Arabidopsis thaliana: one gene and its partner. The protein of the gene in region 2 binds, or shares a complex with, the protein of the main gene of each other region. Each region holds a gene or a part of one and is shown on either strand. Other genes may lie near its edges. The genes, in order: AT3G57060 and SMC3.

Region 1 (13,172 bases), on a different chromosome or scaffold from region 2:
AGTACTCTTTGAGCCTCACCAAAACTGACAGCTATGCTGAAGTATTTGGTGGTTTCTACGAGATGCTTTGAAAGCGCAACTGATCCAGTTATAAAGCTAAAAACTGATCCTGCACCCTTCGCCTGCATATATGAAAACAGTTATATCTTAGATAGAGAACTTAATCTATTTTCTTCTTATTTTTCGTAGATCAGTTTATGCTTTTTAGTACCTGAGAGAAGTGGAGATGGTGACCAGGATGATCTGGTAGACCAGCATAGTACACTTTCTTTACTCTTGGATGAGAAGACAAGTACATTGCAATTTTCCGTGCGTTTTCCTGAAGATTTTTGCCATCTATTGTAAGTAATGAAACCAACCAATAAAAGAAAAGAAAAGAGAACAACATTTCAAGGTAATTAGGGGGTTCAAGTCAAGACCTGTTGCTTTTCTATCCGTAAAGCCATTGTCTTGATTCCTCGAAGGCAAAGCCAACAGTCGAAAGGAGCTAATCCAGAACCTTCTGAGTTTTGGAGGAAATACACCTCCTTTGCCAATCTGGAAAGTTTAACACTATTATAAGAAAAGCAGATATTTCAAAGAAATGTCTCAGATAGAAAAGAGTAGAGGCAACATACTTTTCGCCTTTTACAGCAAGCACACCTGCCATCACGTCACTGTGTCCGGCTATAAACTTAGTAGCCGAGTGCATCACGATGTCTAAAAAGCCAGACAAGTTGAAATATGAGTATTAAGAAGCAAATTTGAGAACAGAAAAACGAAAATTTTAGCCAATAGAAAGCAAGTCTGAGTTGTTTTACACACCAGCTCCAAGTTCTAATGGCCGAGAGAGCACTGGTGACATAATACTGTTGTCCACCAACACAAGAGCACCTTGAGCATGAGCCATCTCAGATATTTTCTACAAAGACAGAAAACCATCAAACCAATTAAACATTACAGCAGAATAAGTCGATTTCGGCCATGTGGTATCTGGCTCCAAACTTTGTAGAAACAGAGTATTTACTCGTATATCAGAAATTTGTTGTCTTGGGTTTGTTGGAGACTCAAGCCACACAAGCTTTGTTTGGGGACCAATTGCAGCAGCAACCTCGTCTAACTTAGTTGTGTTTACTCGTCTACAAGATTTTTAATGGTATCATTAAGTTATCTTAGTTGTAAGAATAACTAGTTATATAATTCAGAATCAAAGGTAGCAATACTAACTTTACCACAACGCCAGATCTTGGAACAACTTGGGATAGTAATCTGTCAGAGCCACCATATACATCATCTCCAGCAACAATTTCTTCGCCTATAGAAACAAAATCAAATGTACTACAATGAAACCAAGTCTATGCTACCGATCTAATACACTGAAAGACATTACAATCCAGGAGAAGTCAGTATCGGAAATTACCATTTTTGATAAGATGTGTAACAGCACTAAGAGCAGCCATTCCGCTAGTAAAGCAAAATGCTCTATCTGCCTTGTCAAGCTTCGCAAGGAGGCTAACAAACGAATACAACTTCTATAAGTAATGTTGAACAAACACACATACAAATATAGCTAAATAACCTAGGAATCGAGAAGATGCTAAGAAACAATTACCTTTCCAATGCATCCCGTGTAGGATTGCCACTTCTTGTATAATCATAAGGTCCATTTTCAATAGCAGAAGGCTACAATAAGCAAAGAAACTAGTATCAAGTGACAAAATCTTCTCGTAGTAAACGAAGTTGTTCGCTTTATGGCTGAATACCTGCTTAAAAGTAGCAGTTTGGTAAAGCGGAGTGCTCATTGCATCAAAGGGATCAAATTTATTATCCAAGTTCACCAATAATGTAGAGACGCTAGCTTCTTCTTTGATATTCATAGCTGCAAAAACATTGAAACACCATCAATCAATAAAAAAGACGCTAACTTTATGATTATCATCAATATGATCCAATAAAAAGAAGTTATTTAAGCTTAACGAACTATTTAAGCTATCAGTGGTATTGTTAACGGTAGAATGAGTTTGACCATCGACACTTTTCTCCATCACGCAATTCAGCTTGAAAGAGTTCCGATTTGAGATCTGCTTCTTCTCCCAAGTTGGAACCTTGGAAATGGAAACACTGGTCGGAGAGTTCTTACTGATCAAACCCTTCAGAGAAACACCCAGAGACGAAAATGATTAGATATCACTTAAATTGGTAGAGCCAGACCAAAAGCAAAAGAAAAGGGATTAACTTTATCTGAGGTCGATAAATTATATTAAAATAAAAAGCTTACTCGGTCGGAGAGATCAGCGAAGGAAGGTACGAAGGAGGAGTGAAGTGACAGAGAAGATGTCATTTTGGTAGATGAAAGAGAACTAAATTGCTTTTTCTCCGGCGTCGATTTCTCGTCTGAGATATTAGCCGACGAGATAATAACGGCGACGGAGACAGTTCTCGTGCTCAAGTGAGAGTAGAGACGACTGAAGAGAAACCGAAGGTCTCTCGGCTTTAAGTCTCGGTTTTGGTTTCTTTCGGTTTATTTAGATACGATAAGACAAAACCGAAATAAATCTGGTCTGGTTATAACACGTGGAGGAAAGTAGGTGTACACCTACTCTTAGTCTTAACTCTTAAGTACCCATGAGGCCACTAATATATTCGTCAGTGAAACTGACAAGAAAAAGGAAATTTGATACAAAACTAATTCAGATCTTATATATTTTGGCTACAAATTGTCATAACTAAACCGGCTAGGACATTAGACATAAATATTGTCGATTCTTCAATATCTAAGCATAATAGGGAGAAACAAAAGCGGTGACCAAAACAGACGTAAATTATAAGATAGCTCTCGAGATGTTGAGCAACTTGAACAGACATTCGCTCTCTCTCTGCATCTACACAATGGTTCTTTAACTTCTACTTCCTGACCTCAGGTTTCTCCTGATGCTGCTCGATGACTCTGTACTCTTGCTTTCTGATTCGCCTTCTTCCCCTGAAAACCTCACAACTTTACTTAACGGTATATAACAATTTCTAAAATGTAGCTTAAGTTGTGTGAGATTTTTGAAATACATATTGAAGTTTTCACATACCGCCACTAGTCTTTTGGTTTAAGGAACGAGGATTGGTCGTACCACATTGTGCAGAATCTGGCTCTTCCTCCGAGTCAGATGGCTCTTCCTCTGAGTCAGATTGCTCTTCCTCGGACTCAGTTTCAATCAAATTATCGCCACTAGTCTTTCGGTTTAAGGAACGAGGATTGGTCGTACCACATTGTGCAGAATCTGGCTCCGAGTCAGATTGCTCTTCCTCGGGCTCAGTTTCAATCAAATTATCGCCACTAGTCTTTTGGTTTAAATAACGAGGAATGGCCGTACCACATTGTGCAGAATCTGGCTCTTCCTCCGAGTCAGATGGCTCTTCCTCTGACTCAGTTTCAACTAAATTATCGCCTGATTCTTCCATTGATGGATCCACAATTTCACTATCTGAAACACCTGAGAATACAAAAAACAGTCCATTTTGAAAAGCTTGCCGTTAACTGGCATTTGACTATCGTAAGTCTGGTACAGTGAACTTTGCTTTAGCCAAGAGTCAAAAAATTACTAACCTTCACCTTCATCATATTCTTCTACAGGTTCTTCTTTCACTTTGCTGAGGACAGCAAGGGATTCCATGGTCTTGGTTTTCTCTCTATGAACCTCGGCATTTCTTGCGGTTTCTTCTTGTTCTTTCTTCTCCATGTGGAACTTGTTGATCTTCTCTTCAAACTCTTCGATACACGCTTTCAGTTCTGGCTTCGCAAACTTCTTTCCCTGTTCAGATTCACAACCAGATGTCAAACTAACATATAGCATTAAAAATGACTAGGGTGACGAAAACCAGAGAAACCAGACCTTATTGATTATGCTTCTAAAGTTCTCGGTCACCAAATCCTCTGCTAAAGCGTGCTCGTAAGACTTGAATGACTCAATAAGCTTTTTGATTCCCTTTTCTGTGAATGTCAGCAGCGAAAGAGAATACGAAATGTATTCCCACTGTTTTCCATCTGCAAGTTTAGGTGTAGATGTCAAAGGGATATACTTCTTATTAAACCCAAAACAGGTGTAAGGATATATCATCAATACAAGCATACCTGTGACTCCGCTAAACCTATTGCAAAGCTTCTCAACTAGAGCCTCCATCTGTTTGTCCTGGAGATTGATGAGGATGCAGATGAGTGATTAGATAAGAATAAATACAGGTCATACTAACTTCAATATTGAAAAGCTGTATACCTTTTTGATGGAGCCGATCAAGAATTGCATGACATTACAGAATGACTCCCTCTCTAAATTCCGGTTGGATAACTGCCCAAGTATATCAGGAAGTAGATTGTATATGGGATTCGATCCTGGATTTGTTTGGCAGAAAATAAACTTAAGTGTTAAATTTGATTCAAAGGTGGAAGTTGCTATGTCATGTAAAGCAGCTATTGCAACTGACCTTTCTTAGACAGTTCATGGAAAAATAGTTTTGCGAGACTAGAGATCCTCTCCACATCATCTTCTATACATATAGCCATTTCATATATATAACCTTTCACCTGAAATCAGGATTCACAAAATGAAACCTCCAACTATAATTGCAGATATTTAAAGAGAGCAAGGAGAGAGGTAAGGAGTCCAACCTTCATCATATCATTCAATATAAGATGTGAGAGGACCAGGACAGCATTTTTCCTGACAGAAACTGAAGCATCCCGTAACCTGGCATACATATTTTCTGTCCAAGGTTCTAAAAGATTTGGAAAACGAACAGCCAAGTCTCCAAGGGAAAGGGTGCAATTCGATCGTACAACTTCAGACGGTGCATTTTCAACAACTGTGAAGAGAAGCTGAAGATTGGATTCGCTGGCATACATTGAGTTTAATGCATCAATTTAACTATAAATTCAGTTTTGTAAAGGATAAATAGACTATATGATAATGATTTAATCTCACCAGAAACTTGCATCAATAATCATAAACCTGCATAATGCAAGCATTGCGGAAGCTTGTAGTTCAGGATGCTGTACGAATGAAAAGACAAGTTTCATTTTATCATGTATATCCAAAATAAATGTGAGAGCAAAAGAAGGCTTTTAACTTCATCACACGCCATGAAACAGAATGAATGAATAGAAAACTAACTACCTTTTGCAGCAGAGAAAAATTTCTGCAAAGCTTAGAGAGAAAAGTTGCACACTCCCCAATCAGATTCTTCTCAACAGAACCCCCAGAAACAATTTCCCTCTCTGCTCTTTCAGCGAGTGTATCAAGCAGTGCATCATCAGAGGCAGCAAGTCCTAGCTCAGCATTTATGCCATTGTTCTACAAAACAAAGAAAACTTTGCATTATTCAGCAAAAATAACCCTTTAGGGTTGTAAAATTTGTGCCACCAGCTGCGCTCTACGAAATTGGTCTGTACCTCTTGGGTGGCCTCAAGGTTTTCTTCTGTGTTCTGACTTTCAGCAGCCGGTTTGTCCTTTTTAGTCTTCTGTCTCCGGATCTTCTGGATACAGGATTCTATATACACCAACTGGTTCATGGCAATGTGACTGACAGCGAACAAAAATCTACTGAGTTTAGCCACTTGAACTGGAGTCAAAATATCAACTTTATTATTTTCGGTATCAGTCTGTGCTTCCTCTTGTTCAACTACGTCAAACACAGTGCTCAGGGACTTTTTAATAATAGTAGAAGCCAATGTTTCTGGAGTTGGGTGGATCATGTATATGGCACTTATGGCTTTATCAGCAGTTGCATAATATATATTTTCTGGAAGCCAGTTCCCAGTGATCAAGCTTTCAAGAATACCAAACAATCGGCTGCCACTGCTGAGCAATAACTTTTTCCTATCTTCCTCGGAGAACCGCTGAATAACAGTACATGCAGTTCTGGCAAGTAGAGGTTCCACTTTTGCCCAACGGCCAAACCCAATATCAATAATATCCTGTATGTGTGATCCAAGAATCCTAGGGGACGACTTTGCAGCCATGCAAAGGATAGATAGAGCCCCACGACTTTGCTCAGCAGTTGTCCCATTGATGTTAAAGCAAAAGAAGTCCCATAGAGCTGATGTCTACAAACAGAAAAATGATAGAAGCACTTATTAGCCTCTAGCAGGTGAAAATCCTTTTCGCTCGAGAAATTTAATCAATAATCAAACGCTCATTATTTTTAGTTGTTCTTGACTGTGCATAAGCAGACTACACGTATCAAGTGACCATAATTCATAGCATACTCATACGCTGGAGTCACAGAAGGAACCTACCGTGCTGCTAGATATTTCACCTTTTGACACTAAAGCATTAACAATAAACTCTAGTGCTGCCTGATCTCCTATATTCGAATCTATGGCAAGGTTCAACAGCTGTTTCGCCGTGTCAACTGGATTTTTCCTTATGTAGATTGAGATGAAGGCATTCTCTACTGCCTCATAGATAGACTTATCCTGAGAAAAGGCCTGCAAAGACAACAATAAACAAGGTTTTTAGCACAATGTATTAAGAGGATGCTAACTGAAAAATGTCAGAAGAATGTATTCTTATGAGTTTGATACATGATAAGCGACCATACCAGAGGCAGAATTTTACGGAGACAAGCTTCTGCACCGTCAATTTGGAACTGCTTACACCTCATCAGCAAAAGAATAGCATTCTCAACATCAGTGGCAGAAGATGAAGCCATTAATTGAACGAGGATTGGCATACTGGCTGACATGCACTTCGAGAACCTCAATCCAGCCTCTAGGGAAGCAATCAAAGCCTTGGTTTGCTCAACGTTACCAATATCTGGAACAGAAACATCCTTCTCACTGATTTCTTCTCCATTCTCTGGCTGACAGCTATCAGATAGACTATCTTGATGAATCTTAGTTGTAGTTTCAAGATGCAAGTCATCGATTTCACCATCTCCATTACAGGATTCACCATCTGAAGTTGACTCTTTTGATGCATGCTCAGTAGGTTCAAGTTCGTTCAGTTTTCTTTTATACTGCTCCAGGGTTGCTTCAAATGAAGCTATCCGCAGCTGTGGACCAAAGGGGTTATGTTGCAACATCATGATCAGTAAATTCAATGCGGATTTTCTAACAATTGCACTCTTATCTTCCAGTCTTCCAGCAGATAGTGATGCAACTTCATTCCATAGGCCAATTGAAACAGAATGCTCTTCACAGAGTTCAGCCCACACTTGAAGAACACGGCTCCTTGTATAGGCTGAAACATCTCTACAGCGTTCGAGCAAAATTTCCAACATAGCTTGCTTAGTTCGCAGACGAAGGGACTTGGAACTCATATCTCCCTCGACATCATTAAATGCTTTTGCAACTAATTTCCCAAGAACACCAACTAGTGCGTTTCTTATCTTGTATGATTCACCACCAAAATGAGGGACCAGAACTCCAACATTTGTCGACATTAATTTTGGCAAACGATCAGCAAGCTCGACCAGGAAACGTCCCACATTATCAGCCCCAGCAGTATCTTTAACGTAGGCCTTTGGGTCAGTCCTCCCAATATCTCTAATGATTGTCACTGCCAACGTACCATCTGAATACTTGCTTTCAGCTCTAGCAACTGCATCAGCAATGTGTACAACAGCAAAATCATACTTGTGTATCAAGTGCATGATTGAGGCACATGACTGCACAATGTAGTGGTATTTTGTAGCAGATGCTCCGATGATTCGGCACAGTGCATCTTTTGTCTCGGCATCTTTTAAGATTGTGGCATTTTCAAAAAGAGTGAACGAGTTTCTACAAGGAAATGATATGAAAATGTTGTGAGAATGTATCTATAGCATGGACTATGAAAGAAACAAGATTCATTAGGTCACGGAAATTACTTGACAATGAAAGACAGGTAGTTTTCGTCTAGGTCTGATGATCCAAAGAGCAAGGATAGGTTGATTTCAAGAGAATTTGCGATCAAATTGAGCATCCTACCCCTCTGAGGTTCCCAGTTCCATGACTGGATGATTTGCTTTTTCCTCCCTCGTGCTGCAACCTGTTCATCCACAACATCACTACCGTAAATTCGACAACAAGAGATGAATTTTATTCTGTATTATCAGCTGGAAAAAGAGAGAACACCTTTGTAGTCTCGACTGAGCTGATGTGTGATTCCTCATTCATAACAACAGTGAGGAGAAAGAAAGTGTATATCTTCAAGGCATTGCGATGTGATGTGATCCTATCAATGATTGGAACATCATCCTCCTGATCTTGGACAGACCGGGATATCGAATCGACATTGGGAAGAAGAACGCTTAGATTGGACCGAAGGCTTTCTACAAGATTACACTTGCAAGATGGAGGAAGACTAAAGAAGCTCCTGACCAAAGAGTAGACACGATCAAATACATCTTGATCCTCGACACAAAAGAGTTCTCTATCAGAAAGGTCAAAGGATACACCTGTTCCACGAGACGAAAGTAAACAAAATGCCTCACATATCAATCACAAGAGTCATAGAAGAAATTTGACTCCAGAAACGCACTAAATGAAATTTCTCTCGACTTAAATTTAATCAATTTCATATTGTTCAGCTTCGCTTGTAGACACGAATTCCCACTAAACCTACCTGACGACTCAGGTGACTAAGGACACTATCAACATACATAATGCAATTTTCCTCCCAAATTGGGATTGCAAAGCAAATCTAAACCCTCTCGCAATTGCATCTCAGATACGCTCATACAGTGGAGAGACAAAGACAATTTACCTTTGACGAATTCTTCCAGATCGGAAGGGCGAAGAGAGGTTACATCGACGGGATTCTGAGCGAACAAACGGTGATTATCCTCCGGATCTTCTTCTAGGGCTCGTAGAATTTGAGGGAATACAAAGGGAGGAGCCATTTTTTCTAGAGAGAGAGAGAGACGTTGCTCAGAGGAGAGAGAGAGAAAGAAGAATCTACCTTTTGGGGAATTTCAATTTCAAAATGAAATCGAAAAAGGCAACGGAGCGGGAATCCATGGATCATCCTATCGGGTCGGGTTCCGGATACAAAACCGGGTCGGATCCTAATTATTTTATCTTCATGTGGGCCCTCGAATTTAATTATGAGTCTCCGTCGGCTGGTGAATAAATACGACGAAGACGTGGCCGAATCTAAATGGTTGGAAGATCCTTGAACCTACCGAATCATCTTTGATTTTTTTTTCCCCAAGCTTTTGGCCACTCTAATGGCTTCGCCGGCCAATCATTTGATCTGACGAAAGAGAGAGAAAGAAGCAGAAAAGCTTTGAGATGGCGATGCCGCTGGGCATGGCGATGTATCTGATGAGAATGGTTTGGTTTTCTCTGAGTGGTTGGGTTTTCACTTGCGTGGCTATCGCTGATGAGATCGCTGGTTCTCTGAGAAACGGAGATATTGGTCCTTTCCACGTCGGATGATTGAATTCGAGATCCTTAGCTCTCCTTCTGTGCGTATATGTTCTTCTCTTCCCCAAATTTTACGTTTTTTTTTGTTTTGCTCTGTTGTTTTAGATTAGAGTCGCTTCAAATTTCCCTACAAACTCTGAAATTGATAATAGTTTGAGTTTATAGAGGATAAAGATAGATCATTTTGGTCGAAAAGGGAACAATTTTTGGTGGAAGTGATTGATATATGTCTCAGTCACTCAGTGTGTGTATGTGTAACTAAAGTTCGGCTTCGTATATGAAACTATACATATCTTATGGATTCGCATGGATGTTGTTATGTTAATGATGCTTGTTAATGGCCCATGAACAAAAATCGAGATTTCTCAACTCCAATTTGGTTGTATTTGTTCTGATCAGCAACTCTGGGATGCATATAATGCTCGTTTCCTTTTGCTCAGCTGCTTGAGTTTATCTCTCATAGTAGCTGGTTTTTGTGTCGATACAAGTATCCTCAGGATCATTCACATGCTCAGATAATTTATCTCCTCTCTACATAAGTACATCAGCATTGATGATATGATCCATATGCTTAAGTGATTGTCTGGAAAACAGTTCATAGGTGATAATACCTTCTTAGCTTCAGTACCAAAACATTCCTGGAAGCATGTTTTATAATCCTGAAGATTACCTTTTGTTTTAGTTTTTCTCCTTAGCTTACTAGTCATTGTTTTGCATTCAGGCCTTTCTGAATTCAGGAAGGGCTTTTACAGCAGTAAATGCGCAGAGTACACAAGTAAGGTTCTATCATATCTTCTGTTGGTACGCTGGCAAGGTTCTTAACTATGAAACATTTTGACAGACAGAGAGAGGTAGAGAGAGAGCAGAGCAGCAGTATATGTGTATAGTATATAGTTTGTAGAATTCCAGAACATATGTGACCTCATACTTGTGAAAAAATGTTGCTGAAACAATTGAGTTTCTATCAATTTCAAGAAATCTTTTTTAGCCTCTTCTGCTTGGAAGATCACACAAGAGAAAATGATTTTTCCCTTTGAATTTACTTTGTATATATTTAGCTCATTGGCGTCAAAGAAATCTATTACATTCAAATATTCAATGAAGAACCAAACATTTTTATCTGTCAAGATCCACCTCTAAAACTATTGAGCTTTCCTCTTATATTAGCTTTTTGTCTTATGCATATCTTCCTTATATCATATTTAGTCTTTGTAGTGTTAGGTTCTGAATTTCGAATCTTTCCTCTTCCCTTATTGAAAAGAGTAAAAGACAAAGAACAAAGTACCAAAAATAATAAAGAATCTTCAAGGAGTTTTTGCCTTGTGCAATTCAACTTCTTCCCATGTTGTTTATGTGTAGTCCAATTAGTGTTATTTTTAATTAAGATGTGGTCCAATTAGCTGTTCTTTTTCTAAACCGTATAACATAATAATACGTGATTCAAATACATTAACATAATGCAAAAATGTAACAGCAAATTCATTAAAAACAAAAAATGTAACAGCAAAGCACCATACTTTCTCTCGTGGGGATTAGAATATACAGCTTTCATTACAAAGACTAGTCAACTAAATCGTACCAGCTAACTGCAAAACATCATCTTAGGAAATAGAAAAAGGTATGTGTAGATCAATCAAAATGAATAAAATGTTTGATTATGAATAAAAATGAATAAGGAAGAGTTCAATGAGATGATGATATTAAATTATGGTAGAAGAAAAGTTAATAACAGGTCAGATATAGAAACTTTCCGTAAAGTCAAGGATTTAAATTATTCACGTGAATACTCTGTCTAGGTCCTATCTTGAAATTTATCATTCAAACCTTTAATATTATCTATATGTTTTTACTTTAAAATTAAATTTTAATATATGTAGATATAAAAATTAATATTTTTAATTTATATATTCTTAATATTTATATCTAGATAGAGTCATATCAAAACATTTTGTTTGAATGCAAATTTCAAAAGATAAATTTTGGAATAAACATTTTCAAAGACGTAAATTAAAAAAGCAATTTAGAAATAAAGCATTGCAAAAATAAATTCAACTAAAATTTAGATGTAGATGTATATTGTGAACCCCCAAAATTAATTATAAAATCTTTTGGAACTGACATGTCAATATTTGTTTGATTGATCAACCTTTTTTCTCCTCCAATCTTCGTTTAGTTCTAATAAAAATATCATAAAGAATTAAAGATTGCAGTTATGAAGATAATGACATTTTTCTTTAATATTTTATTTTTCTTCATTATTTTAAAAACGTTTGGCTCAATTTATAGACAGTGAAGGAAAGTTCTTGGAATTTGGTTCTTCTTCTATACATAAGCTTTGGTTACACAATCAAAATCAAATCGAGAACTGTTGTTGTGTCCGAAAATCAACATCAACATCGTTTCTTTCTTCTGCCATTAAATTTCACCATCTTCCACCTTCAACTGCCCTAGACAGCTATTCTCCACCTTTCTCTTTTCTCTCTCTGTTCTCTATCATTCCCAGAGATAACCAAACAATCTCAGAAGAAACCAGAAAGAGCAAAGAAACTAAAAACTATTATTCATTAAAGTCAGTGTTTTTAAATTCGATTTCGTAATGGGTTCTTCTGCTTCAAAGACCGCTTCTTCCGTTTCTTCTGCTTCTTCCTCATCTGCGTTTTCTCCACCGCCGACCAAATTCAGCTCCGATTCATCTTCACCGGCGGTGCAGAGAGCTTTTTCGTTTCCGACGCCGTTGGTTCACCATCCTCCGGCGAGAAAAGGCGACTCTCATCACCTTGTTTCCCTTACATCTACATCGTACGGTTCTCTTCTCCTCCTTGATCTCGATGGATCCAAAAACTCCTCTTCCGACCAACAAACGCTGCCTCGTATCTCAATCTCCGGGAAGAACACACCAGATCCGGTCTCTCCTGATTCAGTCATAAACACTTGGGAGCTTATGGATGGCTTGGACGATGAATTCGAATTCGAAATTCCCAAACCGGGTAAGCGTCTAAATTCGGATTTTTGCTCTAAACCCGACCCGAATCGGAATGTGAGTTTAAATGGGTCTTCGTTGAAATTGGATGAATCTTACGAGATTGTGAGAATCGAAGAAGACGATGGAGATTGGGTTCCTTTGACTTATAAACCTAAGCAACCTTTGTGGAAGCATTTGTCTGAAGAATCATTTCTCTCTGATTTAGATCCCAGCATTGTCTCATCCTACAAGAAAGCTTTGTCTTCTAAGCTATTAAGCAATCATAGTAATACTAGAAACCCTCATAGACCCACAAAGTCTCTCTCTTGTAGCCCATCATCAAATCCATCCATCTTAATAAGCGAAGAACCAAAATCTGTATCCTCTAGTCAATTGATTTCATCACCAGCCAAACCGAGATTACCAGGAACAGAAGACAAGATTGTACTCTACTTCACAACCCTCAGAGGAATTCGAAAGACATACGAGGATTGTTGTTGCGTTAGAGCGATATTGAGAGGAGTTCAAGTGTCCGTAGACGAACGTGACATCTCTATGGATTCCAAATACAGGAAAGAGCTTCAAAGCGTGCTTGGCGCCGCAGAGAAACCGGTTTGTTTGCCTCAGGTGTTTATCAGAGGAACTCACATTGGTGGCGTGGAGGAGATTATGCAGCTAAATGATGGTGGTGAATTAGCAGAGATGTTGAAAGATTTCCCTGCTTGTGAACGCTTGGGGACATGCCGGAGCTGTGGTGATGCAAGGTTTGTGCCTTGTACTAACTGTGATGGTAGCACCAAAGTGTTTGAAGAACAAGATGAACGGTTTAAGCGG
Region 2 (10,126 bases):
AGAGATTATTTTCTTGAGCTCTTTAAGCCTGTCAATCTCATCTGTCTTTGGTTGAGATGCGGCTTCCAGGGAAGCTAGTTGTTTTTCCAGATAATTATGCTCTGAATTGAGACTTTCAATCTAAATATGAAAGAAAGAAACAATTGATTACATTTAGGGCAACTTGATTACATATCTCAAACGGGAGGGTTATACTCATAAATTCACGGAAGACAGTACCTCTCTTTGGCTTTTCGCCAGTTCCATCTCTAGGCCAGAGACTTCGTTTTCTGCAGCTCGATACTGTCTCACAGCATTTCCAACCTTTTCACGGATGTTGTTTAACATGTCAACAATTTTGGAGAGCTCATTTTCTGCATTAGCAACAGCTTCACCAGACACACCAGTGGCTCGAATAGAGGTTCCCATTCTTCCACCACGTGCCTTGCCTCCCCCTCCACTCATGGTACCAGATTTTTCAAAGAGAGCGCCATCAAGAGCCACGACTCTTCGAAATTCTCTGTTCCCACCATATGCAATACGTGTTGCCTAATAAGCAAGAAAATTGTATCTATTAGGCTCAGCACTGAGTCCAAAGAAACTTTGTATTTTAGGAGGTATTACCCACTTGGGTTTCACTAGATTAGCCGAGCTTAGCTCAATTCATAATTTACTAATGGCAGTAAATAAATTATGTAGCCGAGTCAGTCTTGATGAGCAAACATAATATACCTGATCAAGATCCTTTGCCACAACAGTGTTTCCCAAGGCTGCATAGAATGCAAGTTTCATCCTTTCATCCTTAACTCTGACAAGATCAAAGAGGCGTGGTACATCCTCTGGTGTTTTCACTTTCTCCTTCAGTTTATGTATATGATCTGTTTGTTTTTCCTGCAAAAAAGAATATTGTTGAAGGGTTATTCACTCTTTATTTGCACGAGCAATTACTAGAACCTACTTGGCGAATGAATGTGAAGCTTCAGATTCAGTCCCCTTGAAGATTTACTAAGACCGCTGCCTATTGCATTTCATTTGCTGAATCAAAATCCACCATAACACGCTCCTAACTTCCTAATTAGATATAATAGTTTACTAAGACCAACTCAGGAATCACAATTTTGAGGATCCCTGTATAACGATTCTTCTGTTTAAGTTGGCATTTTTAATAAAATGGCCAGGCAGGTAATTCAAAGCATATAAACAGAAAGTGGTATGCAATACCAATATCATAAATGTTGCAAAGCCAAGATTTCCCTTCCGCAGCAGCTCAACACATGCTTGTGCTGAAGAAGTTGTTTCAACAACAATGTAATCAAGGCCGGCGCACGCAGTTGATATGGCGACATCGTATTTTGCTGCATAGGACAGCCATGTCAGTGATTGTTAGTTTCGCTGTATTTCTTTTAAAATCATTTAGACAAGCAACTGGGGATTTACTTCTAAAATTCATTTATCATTGAAAATATTGTCAATCAAAATTTCACACCTCATACTACAAGGAGAAAATAACAGTCTGCAATATTCAAGGTCAGAGCAATGTTATAGTAGACAATAGACCAATATACTCACCATCAATGGCACCTAAGTCCCCCATCCTTCCATATATTCCTTCAATTTGATTGTTCTCCTTCGCTCTTAAAACTGCCTTCAAAACCTCATTCTGACTCTTCTCAGAATTCATTGCTGATTTGAGCTCAGCAACTTTTTCTCTGGCTGCCTGTTCTTGTGGAACGAGTGTTTCTTGTTCTTTAAGTGATTCCTGCAGAAGTTAAGATGCATACTCTCAGTTTCACCATCTAAGCTGCACAGATTACAGTCATATCTTAATAAAAGTACCTCTTCCACTTTCCGAGCTTCGATTGCTTCCTGTTTCTTCTTCTTTATATCAGCTTTCCAAGAGGTAGTTGCTGCAGCTTTTTCTTTTTTTCTCGTTGATATATCAGAGAGCTGTTTCTGAGCATCTGTGAAGGCTTTCAGAGCAGCTTCATGCTAGAATAACAAAGAGGTAATGTTCAAACAGAAACAAAAAAATTAGTCGTCCAACAGTATTTTGGATTATTCAGCGCGAAAGCAGCTCCAGGAAGCATATAAAGATTTGACTATGGCAAACGAATTCTTTAAAGAAGCAGTGGGATAAGCTAATTAAAAACCTCTCTAGAAATTCTTTTGAAGACGAGCCAAGTTATTTTGACAAGCAAAAGTTCTTGACTCCAAGCAAATCGTTATAACTATATGAGATGTACCTTCTTGCTCAAGAGTTCACTTTCGGATGATGCAACATCAAGCTTTCCCCTGTGCACAATTAGATCTTTTTCCCAAGGTTCTAATTCAGCACGAATTTTTGTAAGCTCAGACCGGTAACCTTCAGTTTCAACTGTAACAAAATTGACAGAAATTATTAACTGAACAAGCTTACTCTTGAGCAAGAAGCTAATCGTTATAGATGGGTACTAGCATGTTTAAGAAGTTGCCAATTCCAAGTACTTTTCACTGTGATGTTGTTAAAGAAGCTGCCAGGGTAACAAGGACATCATTATTTGGGGACTAATATCCTAAAGCATAACACACCTTTAGCTATCGCTTTGATTTCCTCCAATTTCTTCTCCTCATCTAGCAAGACCTTCTGAAGCTTTGGTATGTTTTCCTGAAGTTTCGGTATTAGATTGCTTGAGTCCTCAGACTCCTTTGTCATATCACCGATTTTGGATGAATCCTGCATAAGAACACAGGTAAGGTATATGCACGCCATAAAAAAGTCAACCATCCTTCCAAAACTATTAACCTTCTCAAGTTTATCCTCGAGTTTCTTGATTTTTTGCTTCACATGCTTCAAGTCCTCCCTATGCTTTACGTCCTGCCTTTCAAACTCTTTGAATTTCTCCTTACAGGCTCTAAGTTCATTATCAAGAACCTAATCATTGCAAAGGAAGATAAGGTGATTCACCATTTGTTGAAAGTTAGGAGAGAGAAAAATGAATTTAGCCTCGTCGGCAATAAGCATGAGAGCAGACACATCTTATTGATTTCAGACATACCTCTTGTCTCTTCTTATGTTTTTCATGCACAGACTCAAATTTTTTTAACTCTTCATTACTCTCATCCATTTTCACTCTGTAACAGAAATGTTACGATATTTGTTACAAATGAGTTTATATAATTTCTTTGATATTTTAAAGAAAAATTAGTAGTGCTTACCGCTCATCTTTTAGACTATTTTCCAAATTCTGCAAGCTGTCTCTCTGTTCAGTAATTTTCGCTACAGTATCTTCATATGCCATTTTTGTAGCCTTTTCTTGCCATTTAAGATGTGATAACTCTTTCAGCATGTAAGTCTCTGCCTCATCCTTCAAACCCTGTTCCAAAAGCACATCAGCAACATATACAACAAAACCGGGTCACATACAAGAAGGAAAAACGTCAACAAACCTCTAAGTTGTCTCTTTCTTTCTCCGCTAATTTCACCATTTGCACAACTCCAGACCGGCTTTCATTGAGGGTTTCAAGCCTTAAATTTCAGAGGCAGTTGCAGTTATATTAATAGCATCCAACAAATCAGGAACCACTTACGTCTAAAAGAAACAGTACAAATGCATAGATTACTCACTGCTTATTTAATTCATCTATCTTCTCCACATATTTATTCGTTCCAATTATATCCTCGAGGTATTCAAGAAAACCTTCATCATGGGGACCTTGTGCTTTCGGCTTCATGAGTGATATTTGTTCTACCTCCCCCTGTCAACGTTCAAGAAACAATATTAGAGGGGGAAACAAGTTAATTCAACAAGCTGTTTCTGTAAAGTGAGAACCTGAAGAATCAAGAAACGGTTGTTGTCAAGATCTACTCCTTTCCCCTTGAGTTTTTTGGTAACTTCAGTGAAATTGCTCGACCTCTCATTGATATAATACTTGGAAGAATTATCTCGGAATGCAACCCGAGTAATCATGAAATCGCTTCCAGGAACAGTTTCGTACAATCCATTTTCCTGAGTTAGTTAAAAATAAACAATTCACATTACTAGAAAGCTTAACCAAAGTCTAATAATAGGTAAGCAGACAACAAGTTTTACCAAATCGATAATCTCTTCAAACTGTACAGAAACTCCAGCACTATCCAAGTTCTGGTGATTAGTTGAGTTGTGAATTAGCTCTGAAACTTTGTTCAGCCGCATCTAACACCAAATAAACATAAGAGTTACTCAAACAAAGTTCAGTGACTAAAAGAAAACACAAGAGTAAATCAAGTACCTGCTTGGCTCGTTTCCCAAATACAAAGAGCATTGCATCTATCACATTGCTCTTTCCACTCCCATTAGGTCCAACCACCGCAGAAAAACTCTGAATTTTCAACAATTCAGTAAATCTAATTTTCCGAATCAATAGATTCAAATGAAAATCTTGTAATTCGCAAGAGCAATTCAAACTAGCCAAAAACAGAAATCCGAAAAATATGCTCAAATTCATCTTCAAATTGAAAAAAAAACTGAAATTCGCAAGGGCAATTCAAAAGCGAGAAATTCGAAAACTATACTGTAATTGACATAGAAGCTCAAATTCGAGAAAACCCAAATCTAATCAGCGTAAAATCCTAACCTTGTGGAAAGGACCGACGCGTTGTTCACCAGCATATGATTTGAAGTTTCTCATGACAAGCTCTTTTATGTAAAGTCTCGGAGTTCCAGATTTCCTCTGCTCAGGCTCAGACTCGCCGCCGCCCATTGGCTCATCTTCCTCCATAAATAACTACTCTCCGGTCAACAAAATCTGATTTCAACAACTTTGGAGGAGGAGGTGCGAATTTTGAAATTGAAAGAGAAATGAAAATCGAGGGAGATTCAAACAAGATTGAAAGAGAATGGGAAGAGGCACGGAGAGAGAAAGGGAAAGTTAATTTTAGGTCACAAATGAAAATTTATGGGGGGAATAAATTGCCGCTAATTCTTTCAAATACCATCAACTTTGTGACGTTATTAGTTACCGACGTAGGAAAAAACCAAAAAAATATTTCATTTTTAATTGGACGTTTAATTGTTACTTTGTTTTTTATTGATAAAAAATACCTCATTTAATTAAACTTTTTATTATAATATTTTGTCTTTAAATTTTTGATAGATTCAATCCTCTAATTTAACGGTTGTTATGCAATTAGTAAACATCGTAAAATTTAGACTAAATAAATATATATATATATATATATATAATTGTTTATAATCAAAACAAACAAGATAGTTTCTAGGTATTTTTTCGGATTGTTTATATTCAAAAAAAGAAATATATGACTTATGATTTTATATTCTATTTCTAAAATTAAATTCTCTTCTAAAAAAGCAAACCATGAGATGATGAGTAAATTTTATGTGATAACCTTCACAAACATTTTATAAATAACACATGTAACACTTAATACATATAGAAGATACAAACAAAAATTACAATTTTGATTTTTTTTTCTTTGTTATAAAGATTCAGTGTATATAGTCGTTTAAATATATGTAAAAATGTATAACTCAATGTATTTTCAATTCTATATTATTAATTTTTATTAAAAATTGAAAGGAGGCTGTAAAGGTAGAAAATCAGTCACAATGATTATTTCTTATATTATTCTAAAAATATAATGTCTTACAAAATGTCTTCCAATGTACAACGACAAATAGAATTTTCACAATGAGCTATATTCTTCTTTTTCTCAATACAATGAAATGCACATTGTTGGCAAAAAATAATTTTCATGTCTTCGGGAGAGTGTCCAATATGTTCGTCTGCTGGATCAATATTAGGGCTTAATGCAGGGCCGGAAAACTGAGATTTTCCTTCTGAAATAGATTTTATCATAATATTTGATGCACGTAAAAATAGTTTTTTGAAAACTTATTAAATTAAAATTTAAACTATAATATATATATATATATATATATATATATATATTTTTAATTGAACAAGAATGAGAACTTACATGATGAAACCAAAACTGCAAGAGTTAAAAAGACAAAAATTGTCTTCATTTTCTTTAAAAATTTTAATATTTTAACAAAAAAATATGGAACGTATTTGCTGATCGTTTTGGTTGTGATGTTTTAAAGTTAAGATAGTAGCATCTTTATATGCGCTTTTACTTATGTTTTTTTTTTGTAGGGTACGGTTTTACTTATGTTACATAGTAGTTAATGTTTTATCAAACATATTTTCTTATAAATGATAGTAAAAAAAACTATAAACTTTAATTTACAATTTTTAATTTAAAATACTTCATCTGTTTCACAAAAAATATCGTTTTAAGATTTTTTTGTTTTGTTTAACAAAGATTGTTGTTTTGTGTTTTCGATGCCGTTTTTAAAATCAAATATCTGTTTTATTTCTGTTTTTTCAATTATTAATTAAAAATAAAAAGTGTATTACAATAGGTAAAAGAAATTTTTAGATGTTTTTTTAATTTGTGTTAAAAATTGTAAAATGATACTTTTTGTGAAACATAAGGAGTAGTAACTAAAAACATAATTACTATATTCAGTATACAGTATACTGCATTTACATATAAATTTTGTCTTTTTATTTTCAATTAACTAACATGCGTCCACAAGTGAAAATTGATGAGAGATGAGAAACTGGTCAAATATGAGAGACACCTAGAATAAATGTGGTTTTTAACTATTTTCTTTTCCTCTGAAGTTGCAATATATTGATGGATATATAAAATGACAAAACCAATCTCTCTATTAAATCATCCATTATACACTATACATATGATTACTCAAACTATAGACAAAAATAATTTCATATAGCCATTGACCCTGATTTAATCTATATATTATATGCAATGTCCACCAAAAAAGATATTCAAGTTTTCTTCTAGCAAACTGGTTCATACATACTTCAAACACTGCTATTTGTTTCTTCCTCTGCATTCTCATTCTCCTTGAGCTTAAACGCGCCATCTACATACTCCTCTGTGTCCCATAGAAACGTACCAAACGCCACAGCCTCAAGAAGCAACCTCTTCAGGCTAGAAAACGATGTCACAATGCTCTCTTTGCTGCTTTCCTCAGGACCAAAAAGAGCTAAACTCTGCTTTTCTATCAGGCTTTTTGCTTCATGTGACCTTGGTTTTGCGCATCTCCGCAATATCTTGGGATCGAACTCAGAAATGTAATGCCTCAGTTGCTTAGTGAAACTTCCATGGTGTTGTGATAATGAGCATTCGAGTTGGTGTCTAAGAGAAGCAGATTTTAAAAAGTATCCATATAAGACCGAAGCTGTGTATACTTTACTGAGACGATTCTTATCTATCTCCGTTGTCGCACAATCGTCAGTCAAACTCGAATTCACTCTTAAACTGATGACTGCGTTACTATGTTCTTTGATGAGTTCAAGAACGTCAAAGCTATGGATTGACTCAAGTTCCCAGTCTTTCGAAGGCGAGATCTCGAGTCTTCCGTTGTAAATGCAACTGGGAAGCTTTGGAACAAGAGGCACTCTTATCTCTGAGAATTTGTACAAGATCAACATGTACATTATGTCTTCAATTGCAATTTGGCAATCACTCTCCTTAAGTTGAGCTATCCTTCTGCAAAACATCGATTCAAATACGTTAATCAGTCTCCATATAAAAGCCAGATCATAGAACATAAAACAGAAACAACCATTCCATAGTGATAACCAACACTAATAAACCATTGATTAGCATAATTTCTGGATTCAACCAAAGATTCAAACATTTCTGGATTCTGCAATTTTACAGATTTTGTTTTCTTCTACAACTCGGCGATTCTACAGTGACAACAAACACTTGCGATTGTGATTAAGAAAAGTGGAGGTTAAAAGGAACCTGTGGAGGGAAGCTTCATCGGAACCATAACTAAGGAACATACGAGATAAGGAAGCTTCCTTATCATCAGCGAGCTGTTTAAGCAAATCAGCGACGGCGAAATGAAAGAGCTGCCGTTTTTTCACCAAGACGGAACTTAGAAACCTTCCCTGAGGCGACCGTGGAACTAGAGGCGCGTCGATGCTCTGTCCCGAAGACGCAGCGGAAACCACCACCAACGAATCGTATCGGAACTTACGACGCGAGGGGAGAAAAACGCAATCGCCGCCGCGGTTTTGTTTAACGAAATTGCGGCGCGATGGGGGAAACGGGAGAGATCCGTGGTGGGAGAGAGAGGTGTCCATTGAAAGAGATAAGCAAAAAACGATTGTGAGATTTTTTGGGATTGTGAAGAGATTACAGAGGAGAAGATTGAAGGAAGAGTCAGTGGGAGCAGATTTGGATAAGGTAAGCAAATGGTAAAAAATCTTTTTTGTTTATTGCTTTGTGTGGTTAATGCTGATTTTGTAAGTTGACTAGTAAAGTAAAGCGACGTTTATTTGGGTAATATAAAAACTCTTCAAGGATCACCTTAAAAACTTTTTCATTTTAATAAATTTCTTTGGATATTAATTGTAACATTAAACTATGAAAGTCTTATTGGTTGTAATTTTCTTTGAATTTAGTCGAAATGGCTTTTGGTTTTTCATCAAGCTAGAATTTTCGAATTCAAAAATATGAAGAATCATTTTCTGAGATATAAATTAAAATTTTAGCTTAGTTAGTTAAAAATTAAAAGATTCTTCATTTGTCCCATAATATTATAAGATATTCTAAATAAAATCACAATGGTTAAAAAACCATAAATATTTTTGTTACTAGATATTTGTACCGCAGTCTATATTATTATTAAAAAAAAAAAAAAATTACACTCATCTCATCTTTTAAATAATATGTGACATACTAGAAAAAAAATTAGAATAGAATATGATAATAATAATAGAGATTAACTGTTTTTTTCTATAACTTTAAATAGTGACATAAATCTTCAAATGAGATTGTGTGAGCTTCTCATCTTTGTTTGCTTCCTCTTCTATATTAAACAAAGATATTAAACCGTGAAATTATAAAATAAAACTTTTATTTGTAAAACATTACAGCAACTTAAACTACAATTAGATGCATGCGAAACATTCTAATATAATTAAGAGATAATGTAGTTGTCTTCTTGCTCGTTAAATAACTCTTTGCATACCGGTGTAACCACCATAGTGAACACTCTTGAGTAGATTTAGAAAGAAATGAAATGAAATGAAAACTCTTACCGAAATTTTCAACTTTGCTAGTAGAAATATAAGACTCTAACGTAGTGAAATGATAAAACTCTTAAACCGAAATTTTCAACTTTGCTTGTAGAGATAAAAGATGGGCTTTTACAAAAATGCAGAACCCCACAGGCCTACCTAGGCCCAATAAGATTACCTCTATACACTGAAGAAAAGGAAAAAACTGAAGAGTGAGAACTGAGAAGCGATTATGGCGAGCAAGATGAGTCTCCGTTACTCTCTCTTTTTGATCTTCTTCTCTCTCATTTCACTCCAAGGTTCTCCATTCATCTTTCTTTCTCATTATTGAATGTGCTAAAATCATGATCTCTTTGTTTCCAATCTAATTCCTTGTAATTGGATCTGTTTATAGGTTTTGCCAAGAAGACCGGAGATGTGTCGGAATTGCAGATCGGTGTCAAGGTAATTTTTATATTTTCCGATCAGGAAATGAACGATCTCGTATACTGTTTCTAGCTATAATATTGGTTTATTCATTGTTGTTTTCTGGAATGTGAATTTGGATCTGGTTTTGATTGTGCTGTGTTCTGTTTTGGTTTGTCTTTTGACCATTTGGTTTAGTTGGAGTCTTTTGGATTTGACAAGTGTGATCTTGTCAACAAATTTGTAAGATACTTAGGGTTCTTGATTGGATTCAGAGATAATAAAGAGTTTCTTTTTTTTGCAGTTTAAGCCAAAAACATGTGAAGTTCAGGCTCACAAAGGTGATACGATCAAGGTGCACTATAGGGTAAGTTTTTGCTAGATCTTATAACAAAATTGGGATTCATTATTGTCATGAAGAAATGTTTATTGTTGTTTTTGTTGTTGTGTAACTTAGTGTTGTTATGTGGCAGGGGAAACTTACTGATGGAACTGTATTCGATTCGAGTTTTGAAAGGGGTGATCCGTTTGAGTTTAAATTAGGAAGTGGTCAGGTTATCAAAGGTAGTGACTTGCTTTTGGCTTTTGAGTATCTCTTTTCTTTTAACATTTTCTTAATTCCTTCAATGGTAAT

What was found.
Region 1: SMC3 (region 2) and AT3G57060 share a complex: the UniProt entries of both Arabidopsis thaliana proteins name them as parts of the condensin complex.

Annotation. Positions count from the first base shown.
Region 1 is NC_003074.8:21,112,202-21,125,373, forward strand, and holds AT3G57060 (binding protein), read right to left. Parts: upstream 8,913-13,172; 5' UTR 8,851-8,912; coding exon 8,715-8,850; intron 8,407-8,714; coding exon 8,084-8,406; intron 7,998-8,083; coding exon 7,837-7,997; intron 7,748-7,836; coding exon 6,568-7,747; intron 6,455-6,567; coding exon 6,263-6,454; intron 6,071-6,262; coding exon 5,417-6,070; intron 5,319-5,416; coding exon 5,142-5,318; intron 5,018-5,141; coding exon 4,950-5,017; intron 4,860-4,949; coding exon 4,637-4,859; intron 4,553-4,636; coding exon 4,453-4,552; intron 4,361-4,452; coding exon 4,245-4,360; intron 4,161-4,244; coding exon 4,103-4,160; intron 4,016-4,102; coding exon 3,864-4,015; intron 3,783-3,863; coding exon 3,578-3,782; intron 3,465-3,577; coding exon 3,060-3,464; intron 2,975-3,059; coding exon 2,877-2,974; 3' UTR 2,666-2,876; downstream 1-2,665. Other genes in the region: CBL (cystathionine beta-lyase), read right to left, coding at 20-122, 212-319, 420-537, 618-699, 805-901, 1,007-1,118, 1,207-1,294, 1,400-1,491 and 4 more; AT3G57062 (uncharacterized protein), read left to right, coding at 9,242-9,388; AT3G57070 (Glutaredoxin family protein), read left to right, coding at 11,973-13,172. UniProt on the Arabidopsis thaliana protein: Essential protein. Regulatory subunit of the condensin complex, a complex required for conversion of interphase chromatin into mitotic-like condense chromosomes.
Region 2 is NC_003076.8:19,696,498-19,706,623, reverse strand, and holds the start of SMC3 (structural maintenance of chromosome 3), read right to left. Parts: upstream 4,897-10,126; 5' UTR 4,717-4,896; coding exon 4,573-4,716; intron 4,318-4,572; coding exon 4,228-4,317; intron 4,152-4,227; coding exon 4,050-4,151; intron 3,966-4,049; coding exon 3,789-3,965; intron 3,715-3,788; coding exon 3,584-3,714; intron 3,485-3,583; coding exon 3,406-3,484; intron 3,333-3,405; coding exon 3,175-3,332; intron 3,091-3,174; coding exon 3,015-3,090; intron 2,891-3,014; coding exon 2,762-2,890; intron 2,693-2,761; coding exon 2,548-2,692; intron 2,354-2,547; coding exon 2,223-2,353; intron 1,969-2,222; coding exon 1,816-1,968; intron 1,739-1,815; coding exon 1,549-1,738; intron 1,335-1,548; coding exon 1,201-1,334; intron 871-1,200; coding exon 712-870; intron 529-711; coding exon 220-528; intron 121-219; coding exon 1-120. Other genes in the region: AT5G48595 (Defensin-like (DEFL) family protein), read right to left, coding at 5,602-5,849, 5,936-5,984; AT5G48590 (phosphoserine aminotransferase, putative (DUF760)), read right to left, coding at 6,853-7,543, 7,805-8,148; FKBP15-2 (FK506- and rapamycin-binding protein 15 kD-2), read left to right, coding at 9,320-9,386, 9,482-9,531, 9,797-9,859, 9,966-10,056. UniProt on the Arabidopsis thaliana protein: Central component of the condensin complex, a complex required for conversion of interphase chromatin into mitotic-like condense chromosomes.